Arabidopsis thaliana: one gene and its partner. The protein of the gene in region 2 interacts with the protein of the main gene of each other region in a pairwise test. Each region holds a gene or a part of one and is shown on either strand. Other genes may lie near its edges.

Region 1 (3,937 bases), on a different chromosome or scaffold from region 2:
AAGCAGGAAGAAGAAGAAGAATATTAAATGGTTAAGCTTTTTGTCTAATAAAATTATTAGGATGCTCGTATGCTCTCTATGGAGACTAATTTCTTAAACCTTTTGATTTGAAAGAATTCGAATCTGTAATTATTGTAATCTTGGTTTATGCTTTTTGTTTTAAGTTCTTGTTAAAAGCCACCTAAAATGATGATCAAACAAGTTTGTGTTAAGATTATTTTGGCATGTAACATAGTCAATAATCTTTTTATTAAGGTTTCTTCTTGGCTTATTTTGGACGAGTTAGGCAGTATCTTAATAGTAGTAACAAAGCTTTAGTTTTTGTAGTTCATAAGTCAAAAGCTTTGAACAAAACAGTGTTATCTTCTATACCAGACACAAAAACTGTGTTGTTTATATAGTTAAATCATCCTGAAGCAATGTGACTAAATTTTTTGTAACCAAGCTATATTTGCATTGCTATGGTCTTGTTTTGTGACCAACAGACTTGGATGCAAAGTAGGTATAACTTGCTAAATGTCTGATTTTGGAAATAACTTATGAAGAGAAAATCTTCATTTGGTAAGAGTTGTTTTCTCAATGTAACAGTTTACTCATCATTTTCAAACTCCAACTCTCACAGAACACAATCAAGTTACAAAGTGCAGATGCTTATGGTTGGGAAGCTTTACCTAACAATGGTACAAGGCGGTTTTGTCAGGAACATAGATTCGTTCTTGGAGTTGGTACAAGAACTTCTAAAAGACAAAGATGAGGTATAATAAGGACAAGTTGACGAATAAAAAAATAAATATTATAACGTAGAGAATCTTTCAACCCCAAAAAAACAAACCAGAAAGAATCAAATCCTAAATCCGAAAAACAAAAGAAAGCATTATGCATAGCATTACGATACAAAAAACCGACAAATCTAAGTAACTAGTAGCTCTAGTTCTTCGAAGCATCAACGAAGTAAGACGTAAGGTCAGTCAAACGCACACTCTTATCCAACATAGCCTCAAGCTCTTTAGCTTGCATCAACTGAAACTTCTCTTCAACAATCTTCTTAGTCTCAAGAGTAAACGAACTCCATTTCTGCCTCACATAATACTCATCAATACCCGAACCAGCAATCATCCTAGCAAGAGACGACTTCTCAAACCAATCATCTCCATTAGTTGAAGAAACACCAACAAACGCCAAGTCTTGCTTTACAGAATCAAGCTTCTCCTTCGTCTTACTCGCACTCTTTTTCGACACACCGTTGGACTTAGCATTAGAATCAAGAGCTATTCCTTTAGGTCCCCAAATAAACTTTGACAATTCAAAAGCTTTCTTATCATGAGCTTTCACAAACCTAGGTTCGTCCTTTCCTTCTTTAGCACGGTACTTCTTCCTTAAACTCCTAACCTTATCCGAGAATTGACTCTTACTAACCTCAAAGCTGATAGATTTCTTCTGGAACTCGTAAAACGCATTAGTATCTGCGGAAGGAGACTTCCCTGTATCAGCATGATAATCTATCATTCCTTGTAACATAGAGATTTCGTCATCGTCACTCCATAGTCTTTGAAAAAGTGCTGGCTTCTTTACACTCTCTTCATCTTTCTTGACTCGTTTCGTTGAAGTCGTCGCAGCTTCACTCGCTGCCCTCTTTGCTCCAGATTTCACCGCCGGTAAAGCTAAAGTAGCAGTCGACGACGACGGATCATCTTTCTTCTTTGAAGCGATTGTTTTACCGGATCCAGATTTCGGAGGATCCGTCGATTCAGAATCCGAATCTGTTTCACTCTCCGAACCAGAATCGGAATCAGCAGCGGCGGAGACGGCGGTGGATTTAGAAGGAGCAGCGGCGGAGACGGAGGTGGATTTAGCTGGAGTAGCGGCGGAGACGGCGGTGGATTTAGCAGGAGCAGCGGCGGTTGTGGCGGGAAGGGATTTGATTGGTTCGTCTTCTTCAGATGAAGAGGAATCATCTTCGGAAGTCTCGACGTCATCTTCGTCGCTTGAAGGTGCCGTTGGTGGATCGAGTTTCTTCGTCATCGGAAGTTTCAAAAGAGCAAATCGGAATTTTCGAGAGAAAGAGAAGATGAGAAGCTTCTTAGGGTTTGTGAGGAAGATGAGAAGCTTCTTAGGGTTTGTGACGAAACGATGATAAGTGAAAAGGAATATTTATAATCAATTTCGATATTCTCAAACAATAATTGCGAAATTTGCTTTCCTTATTCAAATCGTTTCATATTTCCAATGTAGCAGTTCCCGTTAAAATTCCATTGTTCTATGAGTTAAACAATTAATATTGTCATTAAATTAAGATTCTAAATCTCAAAGAATATTATTTGTTAAGTTTTATAATCTTATTATATAAAAATTTTTGATTTGTCTAATGTTAGAAATTGTAATGAAAGAGTAATTTAGGTTTAGGTCATGACATTAATGACTAATCATAATAAGTACAATTTCACATTTTTGCTTATTATATACAAATCTTTGATTTGCCTAATGTTCCCATGGATCTCATTCTCATACAAATCATAATAAGATCTCATTCTCATGGATCTCATTCTCATTAACAAATATTTGGTGAAGGAGTTTAATATTATGTATAATTAAAGCCCACTAAAAACTAATATAGAAATTGTAATGAAAGAATAATTTAGGTTTAGATCATGACATTAATGACAAATCATAATAAGTATAATTTCACATTTTTGCTTCACATATTTTCGCACTGTAATGATTTTTTTGCTTTCATTTCATTTTTCTGTTAATTGTATATATACAGAAATATCTATATACAGAAATATATTCATTTCTTACTGCCAATGTTTATAAAATCATCCCAAAAAATACAGGAATATGAGTTTCTTTTTAATGAATTGGCACCAATAATATAATACATCAAATCCCAAGTTTTCGTCTGTTACTTAAATGATGATAATGTAGACATTTTTACATTGGAACTCAAAATTCATGATCTCTTGTCCGCCAACACTCTCATGATGATAATGTAGACATTTCTACGTTGGAACTCAAAATTCATGATCTCTCGTCTGCTACACTCTCATATTGATATCACCATTTTTCAATTCGGTAAAACGAATCTAATTTCTCTAAAAATAAAAGAAATTATGACAGTGTAATAAAAAGTTTTTTTGTTTTTTTGTCAAGAGATTTTTTATAAAAGCGTATAGTTAACAATGATCTTATTTAGTTTGTTAAAAATTTAATTATTTTTTTCAAAAAATTGCTACTTTTGCAACAAAAAAAAACCATAATTAATCATTCACAATTCCACCGAAACATAGTTTTATTCAAACATATATACGTCGTATGTATTTACATTTGCATGATCCAAAATTTACTTCCTCCAATAAAATTTTGCACTTTAAATAGAAAGTCTCTATACACATCCGTATAGAAACGGGATCACAAAATAGTTTTTAAGGATATAGTTACCCGTTCGACATTAAGAACAAAATAGAATAAACATAACAATAACGTACCATAATGATGACAAGAGCTCAAGCAATTACACACATGAAAATTCGTATATGATCCAACCTTACTTGCAATAAGTCAATGCCAAGTTATAACAAGAATAAGATATTCACTTCTTGGTGTTGTTGATAGACTCCACCTTGCCGTCATTACCTCCAAGCAAAAGATATTTATCCTTGCGAGTAAGTTCGGTGCATTCGAAGCCCAAAACCGCGCCGATAACTTTCTGGACGTAATTAGCCACCTCTATAGGAGTCTTGCCACCACCGTTGACAGTCATTTCTTCAGGCAAACGATCCAAGAAAGTGGCTTCATAGCTTGGTCTTGGGTTCATGAAGAAGAAGTAAGGGTCCCAAAACTTCACACCCCTAACTGTGGTCCCGTTGAACATTCCTTGTTTACAGTTCATCGCTACTGGCACAATCCGGTCGCTTAGCTCTGCGAATAGAGCGCTAAA
Region 2 (7,952 bases):
CCAACAAGAGAATTTCCTGACTCGGACTCTGCATGGCAATTTGGATTTCCTCGTGGTGCACTGACGCCTATAGGGTTTTCCGTACACACCTCAATCGGAACATGGTGAAGACACTCAGGGTACCTGAAACCTGAAGGTGCACTTTCAGGTTCAAGGCCAGAATTTCTGGTTCTGTTTGCAGCTTGCATCACTCCATCTTGATTCTTTGAACTAAATTTAGGCATTGTAGCACCTTGATCTCCTGAGCCCTTTCGTGAGATTTCTGTAGGGGTTTCCACAATAACATTGGAAAGAACACTTAGGCCACAATACAATGGCTCGGAAGATATAGTGACAGATGTTAAGACACCTTCATCGATTTCCATTGACATGAGATCATTGCTCTTGCTTTTTCCGGCAGCCTGAGACTGGCTCTCAACAGTATTAATATCTACCAAATCTCTACAAGATTCTGAAACTAGACTCGGGAAACCGCCATTGACATATGCATTGTTCACGAGATTATTATCATCTTTCAGACACAAATATTTCTGCCCATTCTCTTCTTCTGATCTACTAAGGTCGGCTTTCACATTTGCAGAGCCTGATTGATTAACACCATCCTGATTCATATTAAAAGGTGAGGTAGGAGAATTCATACCCATCTTGGCACAAACTCCATTATTCACTATGCCAGAGTTACTCTCCATAGGACAAGGATCTTCCAAGTCGCTCCCACCACCCTCATTGCCATTATCAACACTTACGGATGTGCTTACATTTCCAGATCCAAACTTTATAGATTCCAACCCAAGACATTTCCGAACTTTGCTGAAGAAAACCTTACACTGATCTGGAGATCTTGTCCCGACGTACCTTGATATTGAAGCAAAATTCTTGCCAAAAAGCGAAAAACCCTGTATAAAGGCAGATCTCTCATCATCTGTCCAGTGAATAGGACCTGTTTCCCCACAGCTCTCTTCCGAACATGAGTCATCTTCTTCGTTGCTGTTCTCATTGTGTAGAGTATTGCTGTTCTCATTATGTAGAGTATGAGATATCCGAGGTTTCTTTACGACATGATTAAACTTCAGATGATCCATACACCTCTCTCTAGAGCTCACAGAAGTCCTTAAGCAAGAATTTATCTGCTCTGGTGACAAAGGACCAACAGCTAAAACATCTGCACCAGCAGTTCTCTTACGTGGGAAATCAAAACTGTAGGAGCACCCTTCAGAGTTATTTCCATCGTGCTGCAATGAATTAGCACTGCTGCAACCTCTAAGGGTGATCTTTTTGGAAGAGATCGGCCTGGTTGATGCAACCTTTCCAGCGTTTGCTGCTATAATGGAGACATCCCCTAAAATATCAAGAGAGGCAGCCCCCATCTCACGTTTCCACTTTTTTCGTGGAGCCAACATGTAGGTGTGCTTCCCTTCCTTACCATAAGCACGCTGCTTCTTTATTTTCCCAAAACAATCAGACTTGTGGTTTTTGTAGTAGTAATCAATACAGTCCGCAGTTGTCTTTTGGGTAAGAGATGAAGCAATCTTCTTGAAATCCTTCCCATGCATTGCTAGCAAATTCAGAAAGATTTCTTTCTCCTCTGAGGTCCAAGGATTAATCATTGTTCTTTCCTTCTCAACGTCACATGGATCTTCAATCAGTCCATTGCTAGAAATAAACCTCGACATCACCCTCTCTTTCTCATCCAAAATCATAGCAGGCATTTTCAAAATGTCTCTAAAAGGCTTTAGATGGGTACCCGGAAGTAGCTTTTCCATATAACTTACGAGCTCTGTTGTGGGGACTACACTATCCCTTCTTGGAGCTGCACAGGTAGTGTAAAACAGTTATTAACTTTAAATTCGATGAAAAAAGGCTTCAATTCATCTGTGATCATTATCCCAAATTTTTACACCGCAATCATCTCCTGCGTATTGATATACTTTCTAGTTAGCATCTAAGACAAATATTTACCTACGACAACATAAAAGATAGACAAGAAATAAGCATCTGCTTAAACTATACCTCCTCGTTAAACAAGCTAGATGTTAAAATGAATATTACAGTGGATATAATACTAGAATAAAACCAACATCTAACATAAAATTAAAATAGCGTTATCAACATCCAACAAACACGTTAGCATGGAATGACTCTGAACTTAGCTTGCAAATAATGAATTATGACCACTATGTACAGCTCTGTAACAATAGTTCTCAAGAGTTGTATATGTTTCTCTCAACACCTCACGCCCTTGAAAAATCACATAATTCAAGTCTCTACAACTAACACATCATAAAAGCCAAACTTCATCCCAGACAGCGACAAACCACGACAAGCTTAATATATCAGAGTAAATAGAAGAGAAAAGAGGTTTGAGAACTTTACCTGAAGAAGAGAACCTCAGGCGTACAGATTGGGGAAGCTTCAGATACCCTCCATTTTTTGCATTCGGATATAGTTCTGTTTTTTTGCTAGACTTTGATTGGTACTTTGCTAAAGCTAGCTGATCCAAATCTTTCTTCCATGAGAGCTGAAACGCTTTAAACTGAAGGAGTAAAATTTTCTCCCTAGCTCTCAATAGGCCTACCCTATCTGCAATTTTTTCTTGGACATGAGAATCAAACTGCGTTTGACATATGCCAGGGAATCTTGAGTTGTCAGACGAATTAAAATCTCTTGGAAGCAATTGATTGAATACTCCAGATGATTCACAAGCATATTTCTTATTGGCAGATAATAACTTAGCCCAGAACAAGTCTTCTTTGGAGGCCATGCTGTCATCAGCAGAAGAAACCTCAATAGTTTCCTGATTGGCAAAAGCAGGTGTGTTAATCTCTTTCGAAGAAACAGCTGCCTTCATAGATGGTATGGGCAGTATATCTTCCTCTCTTTCAACAGTGGCAAAAGATTGGGATAGAGGTTTAACTTCCCCAGGACTATCTTCAAAAACATCAGCAGGAACCTTGGCTAAACCAGCCTGATGCACAGGAGCTCTCACCAGTGTTTTAGCTACAGAAGAAGCTGTTGCCTTAGGATCCAAACTACAAGAAGCCTGCTCCTTGGGCACATTTGCATCTCCATCACAACAGTATGAACTGGGTCCAACAACACGAGAGTGTCTTCTACCTTCAAGCTTTAGTGTCCTATGTTTGTTTTCAAGGAGATCAATTTCTGATTCAGTCATCTCCACAGCTTTCAAAATTTCACCTTTCCAGGCAAGTAATGTGTTCATTGATGTCAATTGGACAGAACTGGAATCCCCTGTACCAGAATCATCAGTACCAAGTAACTCATTGAGTAAACAGCCAAAACGCTCCATTGAGATGTTATCGAGCTCCTCGATATTGATTGGGAATCGTTCAAGGTGAATACTAGACACGGGACTAGGCGAACGGCACATGTTACTGACATCACTAGCAGCTATAGCAGCCTTCGGAGATGATTTATCAGCAAACCCTGAATGTACACAAAAGAATAAAATTACGAGTGAGTTACACTGTCCCCAGCAGAAGATAACAAAAACAAATGGAAGACATGATAAAAAGAGAAAAACAAAATCAGTGTTTACAAGAACAGATACATGATGGAAGAATTCAAGTAATATGAAAATAATGCAGATAACTCCAAATAGATCAGGAATGAGAAGAGCACGCAGAGAGAAGTATTAACAAATTGTATTGTACCTGGTGATGAACTGCAAGCTACAGAGGATGGTGTTGTAGGGGAACCATAATCTGGAACAATGGCTGCTGTGGGACTTTTATCAGCAATATTTTTGTTTAACGAATGTAGTTCCTCTAAACCGTTTTCCATCAATGTTGTTCCATCTTCATTTGGGTTAACATCAACTTTCTTTTTCTCATATTTCGCCAGTCCCTCACCCCACCCGAGACGTTGTTTCTTTCTAGAACTCATCTCCTCAGAAAGATGAGTAGTTGTGGCACAGGCAGTAGCGTCTCCTGAAGAAGATTGAGTCACAGTAACAATTTTAGGAAGAACCTCAATCTTCCGATCGCTGGAATCAACAGCCCCCAAGCTTTTCAAGCTACTTGAATGACTAAAACCTGAACTCTGAGATGCAAAACTCCCAGAACTATTCCACAGTGGAAGTTTCCCAGTTGCTCCCAGAGAACTCTCCTTTGCACATTTCCTATCACCGTCTATATCATTGATACCATGTAAACTATTGTTATCTTGCGGGTCTTTCAGGCGAAGTTGTTCCCAAGTCCCCTCCAGCTCTGCATTGGGGATTGGAGCATCTAATGAATTATCACTAACTAACCTTCGACCATACATCAAATCATTGCATTGCTTTGCTGGTGAACAAACCTTATTGCCATAATTGTTCTCAGAAGAAGGCCGTTCAAACAAGCTAATACATTCAGAATGAGGATCTGAAGGAAGTGATAACCTTTGATCTGAAAATTTATGCTCATTTTTAATTTTAAGAGACCGTACTGGGGTACTGATCTCATTGTCCAGATAATGAGCCGAGTTGGCTGGATCCAAAGAGTTCACCACGGTAGAATGAGTATCTGAAGCATGTAGCGGCCTTTCATCAACTGACCTCCGACCATTTCTAATACCAAATGGCCTCTCAAAACTTCTAGAAGATCCGTTGCTCATCTCCCATGTATTGCATTTCCATTCCTTTTGGCTTACAGAAACTCTATCATCCCTGCAATTCCTGGTATATCTCCAGTCTCCACGCGATGCTGATGGCCTATAATTATCAAACATTCGGGCACTGGACCGAGAAGATGTGTATCCATGACTAGTCTCCTCCACAAACTGGTGCCGTCCACCCTGCTTACCATGACCTTCAGAAAATTTTGAAGACAAAAGGAAGATGAGAATCACAAACTAAAGCAAGACCTGTATTCAACCAAATATATAACTTGTGAAACTAAAAACGACATCTATCCAAAAAAATTAGACTTTTACTGCTGTCAAAACATGTAGTATAAGATTCTCCAAAAGGAAGTCAAACTTAGAATCATTATAACACGAAGTCAAGTTAGGAGAAAAAAGTGTCATTACGCCCACACAGGGTTTCAATACTAATAGGAAAAATTATACAAGTAAGAAACCTGCAAAAGTAGGAGCTATCTTCATCTAAATCTACAACATGTAAAACTAAAACTAACAACACTCCACGATGCTAGGACTTTTTATCCGTTTTAAGATTCATGAACACAAAACACAAACACAATTGAGGTAATAAAGTCCTCTTGCAATGAAACTAAATCTACCTGAGTATTAAAAATTGCTCCTTTGAAGAGTAACCTCATCAATTCACTTCCTATCAATCTTAAGAGCTGTGTTAATGCTCCAAAAATACCCTAAGCTATCATGACACAGTGAGAACTCAATCTAAGAAACAAGGATTTGCCTCTAAATCAATTCAAAAAAAATTATAGAACCAAAAAGGAAAAGTGGATATCTAACAAATCCACAGAAAAATAGACTCTACCAAAAACAGAGCAGGAGAATTCAAAGCCCTAAATTAGAGAGAGAAAAGGAGGTCTTACAAGAAGGTCTGCGGAAGTCTCCAGATCCCAAACGAGAAGAAAACTCTCGAGGAACATGGTGAGAAGAAGGCGAATCCCTCCATCGAAAAGGCGGGGATTCAAAAGATTGTTCAGGCCTATCGTGTTTCCTTTGCCTCAAGAGCTCTTTCCGATCCCACGAAGCGTGATCCTGCGGCATCAAGTTATCCAGAAGAATCGCATAAGAGTATCCTTCAAACCCAACTCCAGATTCCCTCCGTACCTACCTCCGTCAAAAAGGTCTCGGAACAAAAAAAGAAGAAGAAGAGCTGGTGGGGAAACCAAATCAATGAAGACTCGTCGTTTCTGAAACCAAAATCAAACTAGGGTTTCGTCAATCTGAAGATTAAAATCCGAAGTAAACCCAAAAAGAGCGGAAACAGAATCAAAAGAGGAAGAAACCTGAGAGCGGAGCTGTATGTAAAAATCACTACTGAGAGACAAGGAAGGGAGATTTCACCGCTGAAGAAAAAAGCTCAATAGAGAAAAAGAGATTTCCTTTAATTTCGGTGTTGAAAGACAAAGTAGGTTTTTTTATGGCGATTCCTCTCTGTTTATTAGCTCACAAAATCCAAAGAAGAAGAAGAAGAAGAAGAAGAAGAAGAGATAGAGAGAGAGAGAACAATGAAGAAGAAGAAGGAAAGAGAAAATAATCCCTGTAACCTAAAGATTCCAATTAAACTCTATTTCATTTTATTTTTCGCGTCCGCTCTATTTATATTATTTTACTCCTATTCTGAAAAAGACATTTTTTTTTTTTACTTTTTTTTTTCTGTAAATCTCAATCCAAATCCATGACTTTGTCTACTACACAAAAAAGTATAAAATCGAAATTAGTAAATACTTACAACCAATGAGAAGAGAGTAAAATACATTAGTGAAAGATTAAAAAAAAAACTATCTTCATTGACTTGTGTAAGCAAAGAGAGAGACGTCTTCTTCTTCACACCGATCTTCGAAGTTCGTAGATCTTTTGGTTCGTCTACACGATGGCGAATCAAGACAAGTTAGATCATCATCGGTATAGTTCTGTCTTTTTTTTTCCAGATGAATAAGATCGTTTTGCGAATCGAAATTTAGATTTGGGTTTTGGTACATTTTTATAGGTGTATTGATTCAGAGGCACAAGATCCTACTTCAGTGACTATTGAGTTTCTTCGTGCACGTTTATTAGCTGAAAGAGCTGTTTCCAAGAGTGCTAGAGCAAAGCTTGATGGTCTCGCTGATAAAGTATGTTCTTTTATAATTTGTAGGGATGATCCAGTGAAATGTTCTTTAGTCTTATGTCCTGTCTTAATATCTTTAGGTAGCTGAGTTAGAGGAACAGCTCAAGATTGTATCTTTACAGAGGAAGAAGGCTGAACAGGCAACTGCTGATGTTCTTGCGATCTTAGAGGAAAATGGGTATAATGATGTGTCTGATGATTATGATTCAAACTCTGATCATGAATGCTACTCTCAGAGTAACTCAGGTTAGAGTTTTTATGTGATAGGAGGAAAGTTTCTGATTCATGGGTTTAATGAGATTTGAGCAACTCTCAGTGTCGGAGATTTGTTTGTTTTTTAGTGTTAGGCAAAAGTTTGTCCTGGAAAGGTCGCAGGAGGGAACCAGGTTCTTCTGACAAGATCAAGGAAAACCGGAATAGGAGACATCACAGAGGTTTCGAGTGTGCTTATTTTTCCTCACCGAGACATCGTCAAGGAAGATCTTGTCGGCAAATTAGACGTGGTGAAGCAAGGTCTGTTTTGTTATCTTTAGCTGCTCAGTGATTTATGAGTGGTTTACTATTACAAATTGTGCAAGCATTGCCTAGAAACACAGTGCTTAGAAATTTGAGATTGAAGGTTATATGCTTAGAAATCGTCTCTCTAATTATATACATCATAAATCGCTTTATTAGTAAAGCAATTGTAAAGCTTGCTTATGTATGTTGTGTAATAGAATAACCAACATTTTTCAACTTTCCAGAAATGTATCTGAGGATTACAAGAGAGATGGAAATCCGGTTGAATTTCAAGAAAATGGAGTTCGCACTGAAATGCTTCCTCAAAAGAATGATCAAGTATCTAGAACCGTGGTGGATGTTGCTGTTGTGAAGGGAGACGATAGTTTGAACAAGTTGTCAAATTCAAATGGTTTAGAGAAGGGAAACAGTACGGACATCAACTTGGAGAGAGCGTTAGAAAACCGTGCTCAAGTTATCGGATCTTTTGAAGAAATGGAAGAGACTCAAAGGGAATGGGAGAAAAATTTCAGAGAGAATAAATCATCTGCCCTGGTATGCCCTATATCTCAGGCTTTGACCTTTAGAAATTGTTTTCATCAATTGTGATTATGGTATATTTCGTGTTTATATGAATCAACCAACAAAGTTTCTTTTATGTGGCGTTGATAATTGTGCATATGCTGCAGTT

Evidence for each region.
Region 1: the proteins of AT3G52250 (region 2) and AT4G00390 interact in a two-hybrid assay, tested with the Arabidopsis thaliana proteins (one large-scale study listed by BioGRID).

Annotation. Positions count from the first base shown.
Region 1 is NC_003075.7:170,723-174,659, forward strand, and holds AT4G00390 (DNA-binding storekeeper protein-related transcriptional regulator), read right to left. Parts: upstream 2,124-3,937; 5' UTR 2,023-2,123; coding exon 928-2,022; 3' UTR 765-927; downstream 1-764. Other genes in the region: GPAT8 (glycerol-3-phosphate acyltransferase 8), read right to left, coding at 3,590-3,937.
Region 2 is NC_003074.8:19,374,374-19,382,325, reverse strand, and holds the start of AT3G52250 (Duplicated homeodomain-like superfamily protein), read right to left. Parts: upstream 6,189-7,952; 5' UTR 5,940-6,188; exon of another isoform or gene 5,844-5,939; 5' UTR 5,698-5,843; coding exon 5,520-5,697; intron 4,809-5,519; coding exon 3,672-4,808; intron 3,445-3,671; coding exon 2,374-3,444; intron 1,811-2,373; coding exon 1-1,810. Other genes in the region: AT3G52240 (transcriptional regulator ATRX), read left to right, coding at 6,527-6,558, 6,644-6,767, 6,844-7,009, 7,105-7,276, 7,507-7,816.